Alligator mississippiensis: one gene and its partner. The protein of the gene in region 1 purifies or fractionates together with the protein of each later gene. This does not show direct contact. Links are inferred from orthologs where the notes say so. Each region holds a gene or a part of one and is shown on either strand. Other genes may lie near its edges.

The links.
Region 2: the proteins of GOLGA7 (region 1) and ZDHHC5 purify together in Homo sapiens (co-immunoprecipitation; 3 studies listed by BioGRID and IntAct, with this or other methods). This does not show direct contact. The link is inferred for Alligator mississippiensis from reciprocal best matches to the Homo sapiens genes GOLGA7 and ZDHHC5.

What each region holds. Positions count from the first base shown.
Region 1 is NC_081830.1:17,408,540-17,412,448, forward strand, and holds the start of GOLGA7 (golgin subfamily A member 7), read right to left. Parts: upstream 2,591-3,909; 5' UTR 2,465-2,590; coding exon 2,354-2,464; intron 644-2,353; coding exon 491-643; intron 1-490. UniProt on the Homo sapiens protein: May be involved in protein transport from Golgi to cell surface. The ZDHHC9-GOLGA7 complex is a palmitoyltransferase specific for HRAS and NRAS.
Region 2 is NC_081825.1:172,569,845-172,573,753, forward strand, and holds the start of ZDHHC5 (palmitoyltransferase ZDHHC5), read right to left. Parts: upstream 2,349-3,909; 5' UTR 2,189-2,348; intron 1-2,188. UniProt on the Homo sapiens protein: Palmitoyltransferase that catalyzes the addition of palmitate onto various protein substrates such as CTNND2, CD36, GSDMD, NLRP3, NOD1, NOD2, STAT3 and S1PR1 thus plays a role in various biological processes including cell adhesion, inflammation, fatty acid uptake, bacterial sensing or cardiac functions.

The DNA of each region.
Region 1 (3,909 bases):
AAGCCCCCAGGAAGGGAAACTGGAGATGCCCTCTCCCTCACCTCAGTCCATTACGAGGATCACAAAATGACTGCATGACTGATTCCCCATAAAGAATTCCTGCAAATCACCCAGCCTGTACAAGGGACACCATAGGCCAGGTATATTTAATCAAACATAAGTTTTCATGAGTGAACTGTCAGGTGAGAGTTTCAGTGTGACACTGTGTATTTAGATAAAAAGTGAGTAAAATGGAAAAATGATCACAGCATGAAATCCGCCCTTTATGTGGAGAGTCAAACAGAATCTATTTCATACGTAACAGTTGAGCAAGAGGGGAGCAGATCTGACACACAAGGAATTTCAGGAAGTCGGTCTGGCATGAGAGTTTATTTCGGCTTTGTACTAGAGACTTCACTGTGCTACTCATCACTGTAAATGAAGTAAGTCTTCAATTAATGTAGTGTTGAGTGTTGTCTTTCAGGTCATAAAGCAAATCAAACTGGCTTACCTTTTCATAATGTGTCTCCATGCACAAGAAGATAGTGTAGGCAGTCAGGCAGGCCAGACAACCTTCGAGATAAGATTGGCCCCCAAGTTTCTCGGCTTCTGCATACAGGTTATTCAGAGTTCGCACAGTCTCTTCAAACTGCTGCCGATCGATCTGCAGAAAAGTCCAAGTTCAGCAAGCATGCTCAGCAAGTGAGCTCCACTGACCTCCTGTACAGACATCCACCTCACTTTTACCTTTTACAGCTGTAACCTACACTGCCACTGAGAGACCGTTTGCTTCAAACAGGCACCGTGGAGAGAGCCACAGCTCCGTTTAGTATAAAACGGCCTCCAAAAACGGCAGCTCTTGTTCAATTTTCAGCTAAGCAATTACATCAAGAATGAATTCTACCACAACTGAAATGCTGTGCCCGCAAGCGAGCACAGATAAGAATTGGGGTCTGATGTGAAAAGAACAGATCAGAGGGAAACAGACTCGGGATTTAAACCACTATTCAATGAAAGAGCATATAGGCAAATCTCTATCTGAATAAGGCCTCAAGTATGGGGGATTGTTGCTCCAGTGCCAATCAAGCTTGTGAGTGATATAAACAAAGATGTATCAGATTTGATGTGAAAGAGAAGGCAAACGTAGCCTAAGTGATATTTGCCAACAACAAGAAATGCACAAAATATTTGACCAGGAGGAGTTACTCCACTAGTTGAAGGAAGTGTTGCAAATAACAAAACCCCGCACATTGATAGAAAATATAAGAGGGTGTTTGTGATGCTGCTGAAGCGCAGGCTCAACAGAACGGCCTTGTCAGAGGATGGGTTTCTATACAACAATACATGCCTTATTTCTCAGTGCCCCGGCTGCCCTTTGTGTTGTGACAAGGGCACAGATCAGAGAGAGAATCAAAACAGAAGGGTTTCATAATTGTTGGAAGTTAGACTTGTAGGCACATTTGTATGTCTAGATTTCTACATCACATTCAAAGTTCGGTATTTTCTAATTACTGTTTGCATAGGCAAGAAGCAAGAGTGTGGAGGGCATTTCTACTTCCCTGCCCACAGGAACCTACCCTTTATTTAACTACAAAATGTCCCTTTCAGCTAAAATCCCAAAGATCAGTTTAGGTCAATTTGAAGACAACTAATCATTTTGCAGACTTTTGTCCCCCAGGAAAGCAATGCTACCCAGCATGTAGAGGGAACAAGACTACTCGCCTTGCTCACTCAAAACAACAGCGTCAAGTAAACACAGGAGGACAGCCATCTGCTCTGGGCCATTTAGACAGGGACTATTTCATCTCGCTGCTGTCAGACAAACCGAGCCTCCCAAGCCACTTGTGTCAAAGCAGCGTGGCGTGACCTCGCACGCTCCGACACACCCGTGTCCCCAGACACTGTAGGTGCCCGGGGTGCAGGACACAGCCCTTAGCTCATACCGCAGGAGCTTTAACACCCGGGCTCTCGGCAGGCATTCGTGCCACCCTGGCGCGAGCATAGAAACGCTAAGAGCGGGGACCTCGGGGGCGACTGGAGCCGGAGGCTGAGGGTCAATCTGGCGGCTTTCGTCATGCTTTGTAACAGGGGCACTCCCACACGGCCGTGGCTTTAATTATATGTCTTTAATAAGCAGGTGCTTGGCACGAACCACTCATTCGTGAAACATGCTGTTTTCCAGGAGGAGCGAGCAGGAAGCGACAAGCAACTCGGCGGTGTCCTCCAACCTGCGACACGCACACCACTACCATTACTGTGTATGACCAACTTGGCAATTACTTTACGTGACCCAAACGTGCCGGGGGGACTTAAGGCGGTCCTATTTTAAGCCGCCATAACAGCTCCCGGGTGACAGCCCCCGGGCCGGCCTTACCCGCGTCTCCAGCTCGGCTGGGAACTTGGTCTGGAACTGGCAGCGGGTGCCGCTGCTGTAGTCGCGCTGCACGAACACCTTCCCCGACACGGGCGCCGGCTGCGGCCTCATAGCGCGGGCCTACGGGCACGGGCCGTCCGCCTGTCGCCGCCACCCCCGCGGGCCCGATCCCGGTCCCGGTCCCCGAGCCCTCCCTGCACGGGCCAAGCTTGCCCAGCCGCTGTCGCGCCGCGCGCAGCCTCACTTACGGCTGTCGCAAACGCGCCGTCACCCACCCGGGGGTGCGCATGCGTCAGTGGGGCGGGGCGGGGCGGTGGTGTGGGTGGTGCGTGCGCAGGCTTGTGGGCGCTGCCACGTGTGCGAGGCTTTGAGCCCGTCTCCTCGAGCGCCCGTCGGTTGTGGGTGCAGCATCTGCAACCCCCACAAGCCCCTCTCAGGGACTCTCAGCTTTGCTTCCTCAGGACCTCCAGATAAATGGTTCGGTTTGGATAGCCCGGTTCTGGCTCTCTCGCTTACCATGAGCAGCATACAGAAAAATACTTGTTTTACATATTTTTCGGGGTACGGTACTTTCCCCCCCCAGCAAATTACAATCATTTTTTGAGCTTTCAATGCAATCGTTTGGTATTTAAGATCTGGCCAAGCTAGGCTGGGCAGTGCAGCTGCAAGAGTGGGCCCGTGCATGGCGGCCCCCTCATGGCCCGCTTCTGTCGCACACAATGTGTTGTGGTGCAGGGTAGCAGGAGCGTGGTGACCCCCCCTTGGCACAGCACAAGGGACACAGGGGTGCGGGACTCCCCAGCAGCTGCTCCGCCGCCTCTGTCAAGCTGTGGGCAAACTGCCCAGCATCCCGGCTTGAGGCACACGGTGCTCCTGTTGCACAGGCGTGTTCTGCGCTGTTGCAGCAGGGGATGAGCAAGCACAGCTTGCAGTGCCTTCGCCTCCCCCAGCTCTGTCGCTGTCCACACGCACTGCTTTGGGGCACCACGCTGCACCCCGGTGTCCTCTGCTGCCCCACTTAATCCTGTGCCCAGAGAAGTGGGGGTTGAATATGTCACACAGTAAGGCACTGGCACCCTGACCCCAGGAAGGAGGCATCCTGCTGGGGCTGCAGGAGTGTGGTGCTGAGCTATGGGCAGCACTTTACTCTGCTGGGGCTGCGTCCAGGTGTGCACGGATGTTTGGTTCCCCGGGGACGAGGAGCGGCAGCACACCTCGTACCACTGCCTTGTCCCCAGGGAACGCCCATGCCATGGACACAATGGCACACCGCAGGTTGCCCTGGGGAGGGGAGGGGAGGCCGGGGCCAGCAGCTGTGTTGACCCCAGCAGCTTTCCCTAGGGGCCAGGGAGCCTGGCCAGCAGCCAGAGCATGGCTACAGAGGGCAGGCTCCAGTTTTGGCCAGTGCACACTGCCCCCACATGCACTACCCCACTTTTTTTCCACACTGGGATCTTGATCCTGGGATCTTGCAGGGTCACACCTCCTCCTGCTCCTCCCTTCCTCCCCCAATGCAAAGTAGCAGCGCAGGGAACACCTGAATGTGTGGTGCGTGG
Region 2 (3,909 bases), on another chromosome or scaffold:
CCCTCCTGCTGTGGCATGGATGAGCTTCCAACTGGTTGGGAACTGTGCTGACCACGCAGGTTCCGACTGTGCCTACACTGCAACGGGCAGGGGGAAGGGGGGAAACGGCAGCAACACAGACACAGTTTGCAGATATCTGCTCCTGGTGCAATGCCACACTGGCTGGAAAATGTACCTGGCCTACAACATGGGATCAGGGCCCTGGGAGAAGCAGCGGTAGTGTGGGGGCTGCTCCCAGCTGCATAACTCCAGAGTGGGCATGAGGAAAGCTCCCCTGCTATCAACATGCTGCAAAAGCCACCCAAACAGAATTGCACCAGAGTCAGGTTGTTCTGGCCGCAACTTGTAAAAGGCTGTTGGCTCCTGAATAAGGCAATTTTCTTCTACTTTTTCCCTTTTAAGAAATGATTCTTTAGAAAATATGAGCTCATATCAGGGCAGACAAGTTAATGATGCTGTGGAGGACTAACTTTTGTATTTCCTTACTTCTAGTCCCAATTGTGACACCCACATTTTGCCTGGATATAGTGTTATGTACTTAGCTTTATTTTTGGAGAAAAGTGGAAACACAAACAAAGCGACCAAAGTCTGACTCCAAAGCTAACAGGAGTGGTATCTGCTGCCGTAATTTGTACTGTTACTAAACACTAATACCCTACTTTCCATCCACAGGTCTAAAAATGCTTTACAAAGGATTCTCCCTATGTTACAGGTGAAGCACAGGGATGTCTTACCCATGCTGCAGCTTGGTTCACAAAGACGGGAACGAACTCCATATTTTGTGTCCTATCAATAAAGACTCACTACCACCAGAAGTACTGGTCAGGAGCAGAAGCAATGGACACATTCCACAGCCTGCCATAAATCAGCCTAATCTAGTCTAGGCTTTAAAAGGTGTGATGTTACACCAAGCTAGAAAGCTCAAACTAATTAACACCATCTCAGGCTAGTCAAGAAAAATCCAATGCATTTTAGGAGAAACTAGGATGAATCAGAGCCTCCTCCTAAAACTACAGTTACTTGGCCTTGACTAGAGTCTGATAGTGTCATTTAGATCAAGCTTCTTTGAACATCGCTCCTTTAAGTCTGAATCTAGACAAAGTCTTAGTTACATTTGCTGATCCAGAAAGACTCACAATGGGATGACACCAACCAGAAAAACGCCATCTAAAATAAGACTGCTTAGAGAAATTTCAAACTGCATAAGACAACGTTACAAGAAACCATTTCCTGAAAGCAGGATCCACGTAAGCTATGCATGCATTCAAAGTCTGCTTTCCCTTGATCTGTGAGCAGAGTGAAAAGGCAGAACAGGTAAAGTTTGACAGACTTAAATGTCGGCCTTAATTTAATGTGGGGGCATTATCTCAAGAGGATATAACATAACACTGGAAACTAGTCATGTGGGGTTATATGCCAGCCTGCATTGGGGTTATAATTTTAACAGTTTCATAGCTCACGGGTAAAAGTGATCTCAAACATGTCCCAACAAAATATCTGTATGTAGCCACAACAAATATGGAGAGAGGCCCGTGGAGAGCTACTGGATTGAGCCCAGGCAGCAGGAGCGGGCACAGGCCAGCATTTAGAGCCAAAGGAAGAGCCCGAGGCTCTGGGAAGGGCCTGGAGAAGGGGGAGAAGGGACCCACCAGGCCGTATCAGAAGCAGAGAGGCCCGGGCTCTCTTTTGAGCAGATCATTTCTCAGGAACCAGGGAAGAGAGAGGCCTGCCTGCCCCCTTGCTCAGTGCTGGGGCTGGTCCAGCGTGGCCGGGCAGGGAGGGGGGCAGGGCCGGGCCGGGCCGAGGCGCTGGCAACACCGCACCTTTACTTCAGCAAAGCGGTGCCCACCCGCCCCCGGCTCTGCCCAGCGCCCGGCACGCGCGCGGGCACCGGCCCCAACGGCCCAGCCACGGCGCGGGGGCGACAGACACCCCGAGCGGCGGCCGGCCCGGCCCGGCCCGGCCGCTGCGACCTGTTGGCCGGCGGCTCCGCGGGGCGGGGCGGGGCCGTCCCCAGTGCAGGAGCAAGCAGCCGGGCCGGGCCGGGTCGGGCCAGGGCTGTCACCGGGCGCCGTGGGGGGCCAGGCGCCGGCCTCGCTCTCCGCAGGCCGCTCCCGGCCCCGGCCCGAGCGCTGTCCCGGGGGTGGGGCGGCCCCGGCGGAGGTGAGGCGTGCCCGGTCGCACTTACCCGCTGGCCCCGGCCCGGTGCGACCACGCGGCCCAGGCAGCAAAGAAGCCGCGCGCCCCCACCCGCGCGCTCGGGGTCGGGCTCGCGCCGCACCACTCTCCGCTCTGCTCTGCCGCCGGTTGGTGGCGGCCGCGCACGCCGCCCCGCGCCTGCGCCCGCGCCTGCACCGCCCCCGTGAGCGCTGATTGGCTGCTATGGGCCGGGTGCAGGGGGTGGACGTTTCCCCAGCTTCGCCATTCCTCAGGTCTGCGCCTGCGCCAAGTCAGAGACGGGCAGGGGGGAGGGGGAAAGAGACGCTCTCTGAGCATGCGCCCAGCGACCAAACGTGGAGGAGATCTGAAGTCTTCCCCCCTATGCCAGAAGGCCGCATTTGGTATTGCTCAAAACTGATTGATAGCAAGCGTAACCAATCAGCCCTCACGCCCCGAACTCCTATGACAAAAGTGTGCTGGTATTGGCTGCTCAGGTAGACCCGCTTTAAAGGTCTCCCCCGCCCGGAAGTCGGGTTGTTCAGGCAGGGTTCCGGGTCCTAGCGTCCACCTACTTGTTTGCGCGTCCTGCTGGCTCGGCGATGAAGCTCTCGGTTCTGCTGCACCTGAGGATGGAGTTACACAAGCTCCTAGGCAGGCACCGGGCCCCGGAGCCCCCCACGTGCCAGCGTGCAGTGGCGGAGGCGCTTCCCTGCCCCGTCACTTCTGCAGCAGCCCGCAGGTGCTACCCCCCGGCCTCCCTGCGCTTCCCCCGCTGCCCAGCACGGGCGAGGGCAAGCGGGAGCTGCAGCAGCGGGGCACGAGAGAGGGCAGCCTTGGAGTGGGGAGGGCTGGGGCACTGCGGAGGAAGGTGCCCCGGAGGGGACTGGCAGCCCACAGCAGCAGCCCTCAGCCCTAAAGGTCGCCAACCCCGAGCTCCGGGGACACAGCGCGACTGCGAAGCAGCTGTGTCAGGACAGGGTGATGGCTCAGTAGCAGGGAGCGCCCTGCAGCATGGACCGATTGCCTCTAAGGCTGCAGCAGGAGATGGCTGTGGGGTGAGCTGCAACAGTACCAGTGTAAGAAAGTCTGAATGCTGCGTGTTGGCCTACTTATTGGGGTGTGTGTTGCATAATGATGTTGGTTCGTTTCAATATAGAGGCCTAAAAGGAGGAAAAAACAGGTGAGGAGGGGTAAAAAGGATGACTCACTCCTCCACAAACCTGTCAGGGTTGTAAAGGGAAAATGCTAGCATAGAAAGACGCCAGTGGATGGAGGGGATTCAGAATACCGCAGTTTAATGATGAACTCTCAGTGAAAAGAAAGCTGTTCAGGTCTGCACTGTGGAAAACCAGGAACCTGCTCACAAACAGGCACTTGGACCCCGCAGCCAAGGACTGTATTAAAATGGGACTAAGTGAAATGTACTGGTACTACAGAAAGAAGAGGACGACCGGAAAGAAATGGCAGGCCTCATCTGGTGGAGAGCGGTCTGGCATAGACTTTTTCAGGATTAGCCCCTGTGAGGAGAGCAGTGGGTGGGGGTACTGGTATAGGGATAGGTGCAGTGCAAACTGTGTAATGGATTTTTAGTGTGCTTGAAGCTGCCAAGTAAACCACAAGGGCCACTTGGCAGAGTGGAGGTGGAGTTTATATTTATTTATTTAAATAAATACTTTTGAAAAACCCCCCCATCAAACTAAGAGCAACTGCTTGCTGTGGGGGTTGGGGAAGCAAGTTCTTCCTGGGCTC